Arabidopsis thaliana: one gene and its partner. The protein of the gene in region 2 interacts with the protein of the main gene of each other region in a pairwise test. Each region holds a gene or a part of one and is shown on either strand. Other genes may lie near its edges.

Region 1 (4,805 bases), 4.0 Mb from region 2:
ATGTCATATGTTGGTTCTTTTTTTGTTTCTTGACGGCTAGATATTTGTCCGGCTTTGTAACCGAGCATATAAATAAAATAAAAATTATATAAAAAGTTTTTTTTTTTTTTTTAACATCTGATATTACTTTAGTTTATCTCAAGAAGTCCATAGAAACCTTCAAATTTCCATTGACACCAATTATTTTCACCATGGCATGAGGGAATTAGCTCGATACGGGTTCAAAATTAATCAAACTATCAAAGGCTTGGATGGATTTGATTATGAGTTAAATAAGTTTCACTTAAATTTGTAACGCTTTTCCTTAAAGTACGACCACGACAGAAGAAGGCACACAAATTGAGGAATCGCCTCTCCTCAACTTGGTGCAGTTAATATATACTAATTAATTAACACTTATGTTATGGATCCTGTAAATAATGAATGCATTAACTTTTTTCAATTAAAAATAAAAACGAAATTTAATCAAAGTATATCATAGAGAATAATATATAGTGGATTCTGATAACTTAATTTGCTAAAAAAGTTGTATATATGTAGACCGGCCTCAATTACTTAGGAATATATGTTTATTAAACCATAAATGATTAAACAGACTGGACGAACTTATTTCCTCAAACCAACCGTACGTGGGAATAGTCTCTCCGGCGAGGAGTTTACGGTGTCGGTTAGTGGCCGGCGCCAGAGCTGGTGGGAGAATGTTTGGCCTGGTCGCTATCAACAATCGTTGAGCTTGAACATATCCTCTTCACGTCATATCTATTTATATCGAAATTGGTTACAGCGTTTAGGCCTCTGAATTTAATTGCCGCGATATCGTACGCCTCCGCTGCTTCTTCTTGCGTGCCTTCATCATAGTTACAAAATGTGATATTTAATAATTCAAAGGCTATGATATAATTCCATATGTATAGAAGTGGTTCATACTAAATGTTCCAAGGTACAAGTCCTTGTTTCCAGCAACTCTTCCAATTCTGGCTTGCCACCTTCCATGTTGATGATGCCTACATGAGTTATACATGCATGATCATCATGATCTAATTCCATGCATGTACATGTACATATATAAATATATACAAGTTTCACATATATGTCCAAATCAAACCTTGTAACTCCTCTATACACGGAAGCTCCCCTCGAAAACCCGCTGCTATTCCTATGATTATGATATGTAATTACAAAGCGTTTGTTAATGGTTAAATGCATATGACTATATAAGGTCCATAAATATCATTACAAACCCACTGTTGAGTAATTACCTCCTCAACATGGCAACAAATTCTTGCCGATTCATGTTATTGAGTTCCTCGATCTCCTTTTCGTAATTACTCAACTGAATAAAAGAGCGTCAAAGGAACTGATATCACAAGCCAAATCTATGTAGTTCCATCAAAATCAAGTCAATAAAATCGGAAAATGATTACATTCAAGATCCAAAATATCGAAATAAGTATGGAAACTGTTATGTTGCATGTATATAAGTGTACATATATAAAACACACTTGCATGTAATAAAGGAGTTAGAAGTGGAGCTAGGTACGGGACCAGAAAGATCAAACTCACAGGGAAATTTAAGTGAGTGGTAGGACCCCAATACTTCAGAGCCGCTAAATCATATGCCCTCGCTGCTTTCTCCTCCTCATCATACCCTCCTATTTTAGTAAGTATTAATTCTACTATTAAATGTTTTTCTATAATTATCAGAAGGTAACAAGGTTAATTTTTACTTCGAAGGCCAAAAATAGGGCAACAAGAAATGAACGAGGGATCTCATGCATAATAGGTTGTAAAATAAAGTTCTGGCTTACCAAGATACACTGTGATTGATCAAGAAGCGAATTCGAAAGTACATACGAAGCCAAAATTAAATAATTGTTAGTAAGATTATTGATGCATGATAGCATATTGAATCGGAAAATTATTTTGTATTTGTTTTTTCTGACCTTGTCTTCCTCTCCTTGTCTGTCCCTCCTTCTTACAGCTATTATCCCATAAGTGAGCTTCATATCTCCCTGTCCATCTATGCCTGTATACACGCACAACATAAATATGTGTCGACACAATTATACATAATCTACAAAATAAAATGACAAATATACATAAGTAACATAATTGTGGCATTCACATTTTTCTTACGTGTAAGTTTGAGACATCATTTAAACCAAAACAAATGTTTGAGACGTCATTATTTAATAACGTACGTACCTTGTAACTCCACGATACTGAGAAGTTCTTTGTCCATAACTATCAACCGACTTCCGAGGAACGGATTCCTTTACCTGAGGTTTAACAACCAATCTCTTCCGCTTCTCATCTACCTTAACCGGTTCTTCGACCCGTGCGGATACATTCGATTCGTTGATCAAATCAGAACAAGCCCCATGGCTCAAAGCCAATGATAGCATTGAGCCATTGGTGTTATAACCAGTCTCTTCGTTACTAAAATGACTAATATTATTGCTCGTACCAGCCTCTTCAGTAACGTAATGACTCGAGAGTGGGAATGCTGGAGTGCCTTGCTCTAACCAAGATTTGAAAACCGAGACCGAACCGACCCTCTCAAAACCTCCATAATCATTGCTAAGGTTCGGATCTAGGTTCGGGTAATGTGGTGTAACTACGGTTTGGTCGTGGAGAAGGTAACCGGGTGGGTTTAACCTGTTAACCACAGTGGTGCAGTTGACATTGGTTTGGTTATGGTTTATAGGATACTCGGTTTGATGAGAGTTTGAGAGGAGATCTTCCACCTTTGGAACGTCTTCATCATGATGATGATGATCAAAGTTAATATCATATCTCCAAACTACACATAAAATAGAAATCAAATTAAGAATATTAATAGTGGCCACACCAACAACATATATATACCAGGGGGATGATGTGTGAAGAAGAGAGTACCATCGGAACCGTCATGCCTAAGTTCTTCTTCTTCACTATTGCAGATTCTCAAAGGAGGTGTCAATGAAAATCCCAACCATTTCTTCATCTCTCTCTCTCTCTCTAGCTGTCTTTCTCGCTCTTAGTTTATATGTATAGGGTTTCGTTTTATATGATTTGTAGTCTCATACGTGCGAATATACATTAATATTTTTCATAAGTCTAAAACATTTAATAAATTATATAATTAAAAAGGTGGAAAAAAGATTTGAGACAAAACAGGTGGCGGTGAAGTTTTGTCGTAAGCATGAAAGAAAGGAAGAGGAAGTTTCTCTCTCCCTCACTCTTTCACATTCTCTTTCACACACACTTGCATCTGACTTCTAGAGTTTTGTGCCCACTCTCCCTCGGATCTTTTCGATGTATACGTATATATATATGGGAGATACACATGACACACTACAATGAAAATTTTCGTTCTTTGGTATTTGATTAACTTTTCCGTAAAAAAAGCACACAGTAGCGCTTAAAAAAGTCAGTATTTTGTTTCTTTCGAAATATGTTAATTAGACAATAATACATTTCTTTTATTAATGTCTTTCTTTCGATATAATTTGGGATATTTTTTAATAAACTTAAAGAACATTACATAATTTAAAAGTAAACAAAATTTGTACTAAAATTAGTAGTATTGCAAGGAAATTTCTCCTTAGACGATAAAAATGTGTTTTTGATTGCTCATTCAATCGATCCGTTTGAAAATGATTCTAACTGTGATGGAGAAGCCTGAAATGATCTTGCTGTTTTCGCAGATTAGACAAAGATCAATCTAAAAGATAAAAGATATATATAGCTGGAGTGTTTGGCAATATGCTATCTAACTCATAAAATTTGCCTCAAGTGTGAGAAGCGGATAATGTGACGGTATAACCTTTGAAAACAGACACACAAAATATGATAGAACAAAAGAATAAGTGATCTCTCTTATTTGGTTGATTATATTGCATATGTTGCTTATAGATAGAAAATGAAATTGTGTTCCAAGCTGTTAACCAAGACTTAGTGGGTAGTTTGTCCATACTCGCCACCCACATAACGAAATGTCGTTCTACACAAAAAGCCACAATTGTTTTCTTTAACAACTGAAAAATGAATTTGTGATTTTATATCTTGCTACGGGCATCGGAAATATTCCAACCTCTTCTACGAGGTAATCGACAATGCCATTACAGAACAAACCTTTTCTTACAATTACCTAGTTTGTAGTATACAAAATAAAAATCGAGAGGTCTTAGCTACAGAAGTTGTCTCCATGAATAATTTCACAGTAAGTAGTTTAGTTATATGTATTAATGTGACAATTTGTTTTATAAAACATTAGATTAAGAAAGTGAAAAAACACCATTATATTTGCTAACTCACAAAACATTTATACATGTCTATCTTAATCTATCAGTATGCAACACCTAAGGCCTAAGGTGAGAGAGATTCAAGCCCATGGGCTGATTTACTGAATTCAGATGACGGTTAATTTTCAATTCGCTGGCAATAATATTTATAGTTCTCTGGGAAAATATTCTGCAAGCTAATAAAAATCTGTGTATAAAAAAAAAAAAACCCTACAGCTCCGTCTTCTCTCCAGTCTCACAATTTTCCTCATATTTATAAATCCGTAAGGGAAATTTTCTAGAAACTCACCAAAAAAAAGTATTCTTTGAATTCAAAGAGAAACCCAAACTAGGGTTTCCATAATCCCTTTTCTACTATATCTCCCACTCTCATAAATCCGATCGCTAAAATCGCCACGATCCTTACTTTCTGGTAAGCTCTCAAGCGAAACCCACTAAAAGTTTCGTCTTTTTCTTCTTCGCATCAAAATCTGATAAGGGAAGAGAACAGTGAAGGAGAGAAGCTAGCTGACGATACTA
Region 2 (4,861 bases):
TCAAATTTATAACAAAAGGTGTCTAGTTGATAACATATCACTTCATTTATTAATCACTGGCAGAATAATGAGATTGCTTCTTTTCTTTTGTTATATTATGAGAGGGAATATGTTTTGACACCACGTATCGTATTCGGACCAAAGACCAATTAGACTATTCTCCACAACCAATTTTCGAACTAGGATAATGTCGACATTCTCCTAAAACTTATAAATCTATTGAAGAATATGATGATATCTAAAGAAAGCTACAAATTATATTTTTTTAATTATTCATTCAAATTTCAAAAATGAACGTACCTAACATGTTAAGATATGATTTTGTTACAAGTTTAGCAAGGTCCCAATTTTTATATCTATCAAAAAAATCACTTGTGACCGATTTTTAAAGGAATGTTAATGGAAAAATTGTTGTCCAATAGGGTATTTTAATCCCAAAGAAATTATTGAGCAAATGACTAATTGATTATCATTTCCATATCTCCAACTAGCCAGTCAAGAATCTCTCATGTTTCTTGTAATTACCACTTTTCCTAAGCTTTTTACTAAGATTGGACTTGCATATGTTTGGAGATGTTTTATCCATATTTTAGAGATTCTATATATACACCCTTGTAACGATCATATATTTTCTATTTAATAATAGTAATTAAAATGAAGTATATCATAATTAGAATGCCAAGAAAAACAAACTTTATTTTACAAAAAAAAAAATGAAAAACAAGCATTAGTTTGTAACATTAATCTAAGCACTCAGAAGTAAGCCGATACACTAAAATAGCATGATCTTAGTATCTAACAACTCAAATAATGCATACATTGAAATTCAGTAAAATTCCAATTTCAAACCACGTAATATTTTCATTTGTCATAGTAACTAATTTTCTTCTTGTACATGGGGCTACATAGTCATTATTTTATCCTTAAGCTCCAAAATATTGATCTGTTTGCCATCCTCCACCTGAAAATTTGAAATGAAATGATGATTAGTGTCAATTTTGTTTTTAGAAAATTAAGGCAAGAAAAGATCAAACACTAAAACTTTTTTTTAGAAAATTAGTAATTTATTTATCTAATTCTAATTTCAGGTAAGTATATTCATTGTATTTTTGATAACCACAAAAGTAGTTTACAAACAGATTATAATTTGTATAGAAATTAGCAAATAAAATGGTATGTGAACTAAAAACTGATATTAGCAACTATGATAGACCCAAAAGTTTGTAAATTCTTGTAACCTTTTCTCTTTATATTTTTAGTAACAATTTTACCTGCGAAACAATGGTGTGCATGAATCTCTGTTGCCGTCTAGCTGAGAGGCAACTAACTACACTGAACCTTTGTTCTTGAGCTAACATTTGAAGAACACTCGAGAGACAAGACTTGTTTCGTCCGAGACAACAACTTATGATGATCTCAACACCAACTAAACAAGGTGTGACCACAACAGTAATGTGTTTGTCTCCTACACATGAGCAGCTTGATGATAGTGTTGATGCTGCTGATGATGATAAACTACTGGTGCATTCCTCTATAGCTGAATGAGTAGTAGTTGTGGCCGATATGACTTTTTTTACCCGATTTCTCTTTTCGTTGAGTTCTTTGATTTTGATTTGTAAGTCTTTGATGTAGTTCACTGCCTGCACGATGTGATCTGATGTCGAGCGTTTACCCTGTATGTTAAATGATATGGTCATGCTTAGAACAACTAACTAGCAATTATTTGATTCAAGAATGTACTTGGATATATTAACTAGTGTTAAGAAAAAAGAATGAACTCATCAGTTTAAGAAGATGTTTCCTTGATGTGGTATCCAAAATTCGAGTATTACACTACGTTGAAAAAAAAAACTATTTGTCAAAATTTCAATTTATATATTTTAGATATTAATACGAATGTGTAAGAGTTTCTAATTCTATGTATAAAGTGGTACCACAATATATATACGAAAGATTTAATTATGTAAAAAAATTGTTTTAAAAGTATATACGAAAGCATGAATGATCGAATAGTTAGTAAAAGCTTTCAAAACTAAGGTTCTCTATATACTTTCCTTTTCAATGGAAAGAAAACTGCTCGCTTGCACTTTAACAAATGAAATGGTTTTGTAAATTAGTATGTAATTAAGGACTATATATAGAGATAAAAATATAAAATATTTCTCAAGCTAATCATAATGAAATATCTCCCACTAGATAACTTACCTGGATATATTGAAATGGCAAGAGAGTTCTTAGTCTTTTGAAAAGAGATGAAACTTCTTGTCTTCTTTGCCTTTCAATGTCTCTATGTTTCATCTTCTTGCTCTCTCGATCATCATCATTTTTGTTGGCTTCATTCGCACCATATGTTATATCACACAAACTTCGTTTCTTATTGCTTCCACCAATTTTGTTTGTGATCGAATGGAAAACATCATTGTTTTGGTATGATATAAACGGAGAAAGAAGAAAAGAATCAGAAAATAGTAATCCATCTTCGTAGGTTGAATCAGGCATAAACAATGAAGGAACACAATCCATTGGAATTTGATATCTATGAGTACTTTTAATTTGGTTTGATTTTTCTTGTAGTGTTGTGACTTTCTGGCTTGTGAGGCTCTTTATACTTGCCTCCAAGATTTGTTTCTTCTCCTCTTTAATTGGACAGATGTGATGATAGGTTAGTGATCGATCTCGAAGAAACTAAAATCTCCACAAAATATGAGTAGTTGGGATTAAATTAAAGATGATAGTAATAATACTATTAAATTAAACTTTGCGCTGTTCATTTAGTGGCCATTTAATAATCACGTCAAATAAGAATGGGAACGTATGTTTTAAATGTGCTTGAACATATACATCTCACCTTCATTACACACCACCTAAGTTTTCAACTCCAATAAATTTCAGCTTCACAATAATTCTTAATCCATGGGTTTCATATAAAAATATATACAGATGTTTACACTTAAACATTCATACAAATGGATATGTTACAAATTCTTATGAAATTTTTGATAATACTATCCTATCTATCTCAACGGAATTGAAAATTCTATTGGACCATCAATTAGTAGGATGGTCGGCAATTTTTTCGACCGGAAACAAGACAACATATGTTGTTCAGAATCTAATACTATGTTAAGTTTCATGGTTCCAACTCAAAGGTTAATAACAAGATTATCTCATATCATTTATATATACTAATCAAGTCATTTCCCTTCTTACTGTTGTAAAAAATTTCTCCACAAAATGTTGAAATGGATTTTATTTTGGTTATTGACTCTTCACTTGAATTTCCAAGCAGTATTCAATTACATATATAAGATATATACAAAATTTAAAGTTTTTTTTTCTGGTCAAAAAATACTCCATCTGTTTTATTATAGTATAATATGATACTTTAGAGATTCTGTTTTTCATTATATATATGATGTTTTACAGATTTCTATGTTAACTGTAAATATATTTGTTTTTAATGGATATTTGTATTTTGCAGTCTTTTATATAATTAATTGAATTTTCTTTAATCAAGTATTAAATGATAGTTGTTAAAGAAAAGATAAATTTCTTAAAGTGTGTGTGTTTTATCTAAAACACCATACTCTCACCATTTATTAATAAGTGCCATATAAGGTTTTGATATAATACATAGAATATTAAGAAAACAAATACTTCCTCTGCTTTAAAGTATTTGTCTTTTAAGGTTTTTGCACATCAATTAAGAAAATAATTAAATTTTATTTTATTTTTACTCAATATATTCTCTAAATGTTTTAATTGGTCAAGATATCAAAACTTTGAGGAAAAAACTGGAATTTTTACCAAACATTTGCCTTAAAGATCTAAAATGACAACGAGACAAAATTTAAGTGGTAAAATGATAAATTAATTAAAACGGAGAGAAGAAACATTTTTTTTTTACTTTTTATCAATATACAAAAAATAACCGTCAATTCACTAAATCAATAGATTCAGTTGTAACTTTGATCAAAAGTCGGCATTACAAATATAAAACAACATTTATTTTAAAACAAAATTTAGTATATATGTAAAATGACACTTAATTTAGAACGTAGGAAGTATATTTTAAAACAAAGAGTACTTAACACAGCTAGAGTTCAGATTTCGGATCTTAGCTGAATATTTGCTTAGCTCGTGCAGCATTGATGGACCAAACTGTATTTCTTCTCTTGGACCAAACATTTACTGTTTTTGAACGAAGACCGAAGATTATTGATTTGTGTCAATTATTAGTATATTGTTGTTGCTACCAATTGTTAATGTCATCTCTTCATCATTTATTTTGAGTAGTTATGTCAAGGTTTCTTGATTTTATTTTCCACATTTAATTGAATATAAGAAGATTGACATGTATTTATTGTATACATGATAAGGTGTAGTTAATTACCATAAATAATTTAATCAAATAAACTTTATTAACTCATTATTTGTGAAATTAATATTATGACTGACTGATTTTTATTTCAAAAACTTTAAATAATTCTTAGTTTTGAGGTTATCGACTTATTATGGCACATGTTTTTTTTTTAATATATTTTCATTACAAATAAAACGAGCCATCAAGTTTAAGTCGGCAGATACAAATTATGTGACAGCTTAGTTGAATTTGAAGTTAAACTTAGACTAAAGAGAAAACACAAATCTTTTGTAAAGGTTTATTAGTATAGTGAAAAGGAGATTAAGTAAGATTCTTGTATTTAATTAATAGTAATGACGCGCAATAATTAAGGAGTGTAATTGCAGATGATAACGTGGACACTCAAAAAACCATTGAATGGTTTGCAATAATTGTTAGTGAAGTAATTAATATATTAAATGTGGTCAGGATTAGGTCTGACATTTTGGTAAATGGGGT

The links.
Region 1: the proteins of AT1G62975 (region 2) and AT1G72570 interact in a two-hybrid assay, tested with the Arabidopsis thaliana proteins (one large-scale study listed by BioGRID).

Annotation. Positions count from the first base shown.
Region 1 is NC_003070.9:27,329,562-27,334,366, reverse strand, and holds AT1G72570 (Integrase-type DNA-binding superfamily protein), read right to left. Parts: upstream 2,987-4,805; coding exon 2,899-2,986; intron 2,804-2,898; coding exon 2,206-2,803; intron 2,027-2,205; coding exon 1,944-2,026; intron 1,818-1,943; coding exon 1,809-1,817; intron 1,653-1,808; coding exon 1,564-1,652; intron 1,334-1,563; coding exon 1,260-1,333; intron 1,157-1,259; coding exon 1,106-1,156; intron 1,005-1,105; coding exon 928-1,004; intron 848-927; coding exon 669-847; downstream 1-668.
Region 2 is NC_003070.9:23,326,563-23,331,423, reverse strand, and holds AT1G62975 (basic helix-loop-helix (bHLH) DNA-binding superfamily protein), read right to left. Parts: upstream 2,698-4,861; 5' UTR 2,524-2,697; coding exon 2,206-2,523; intron 1,674-2,205; coding exon 1,272-1,673; coding exon of another isoform or gene 1,248-1,271; exon of another isoform or gene 962-1,247; coding exon 902-961; 3' UTR 612-901; downstream 1-611.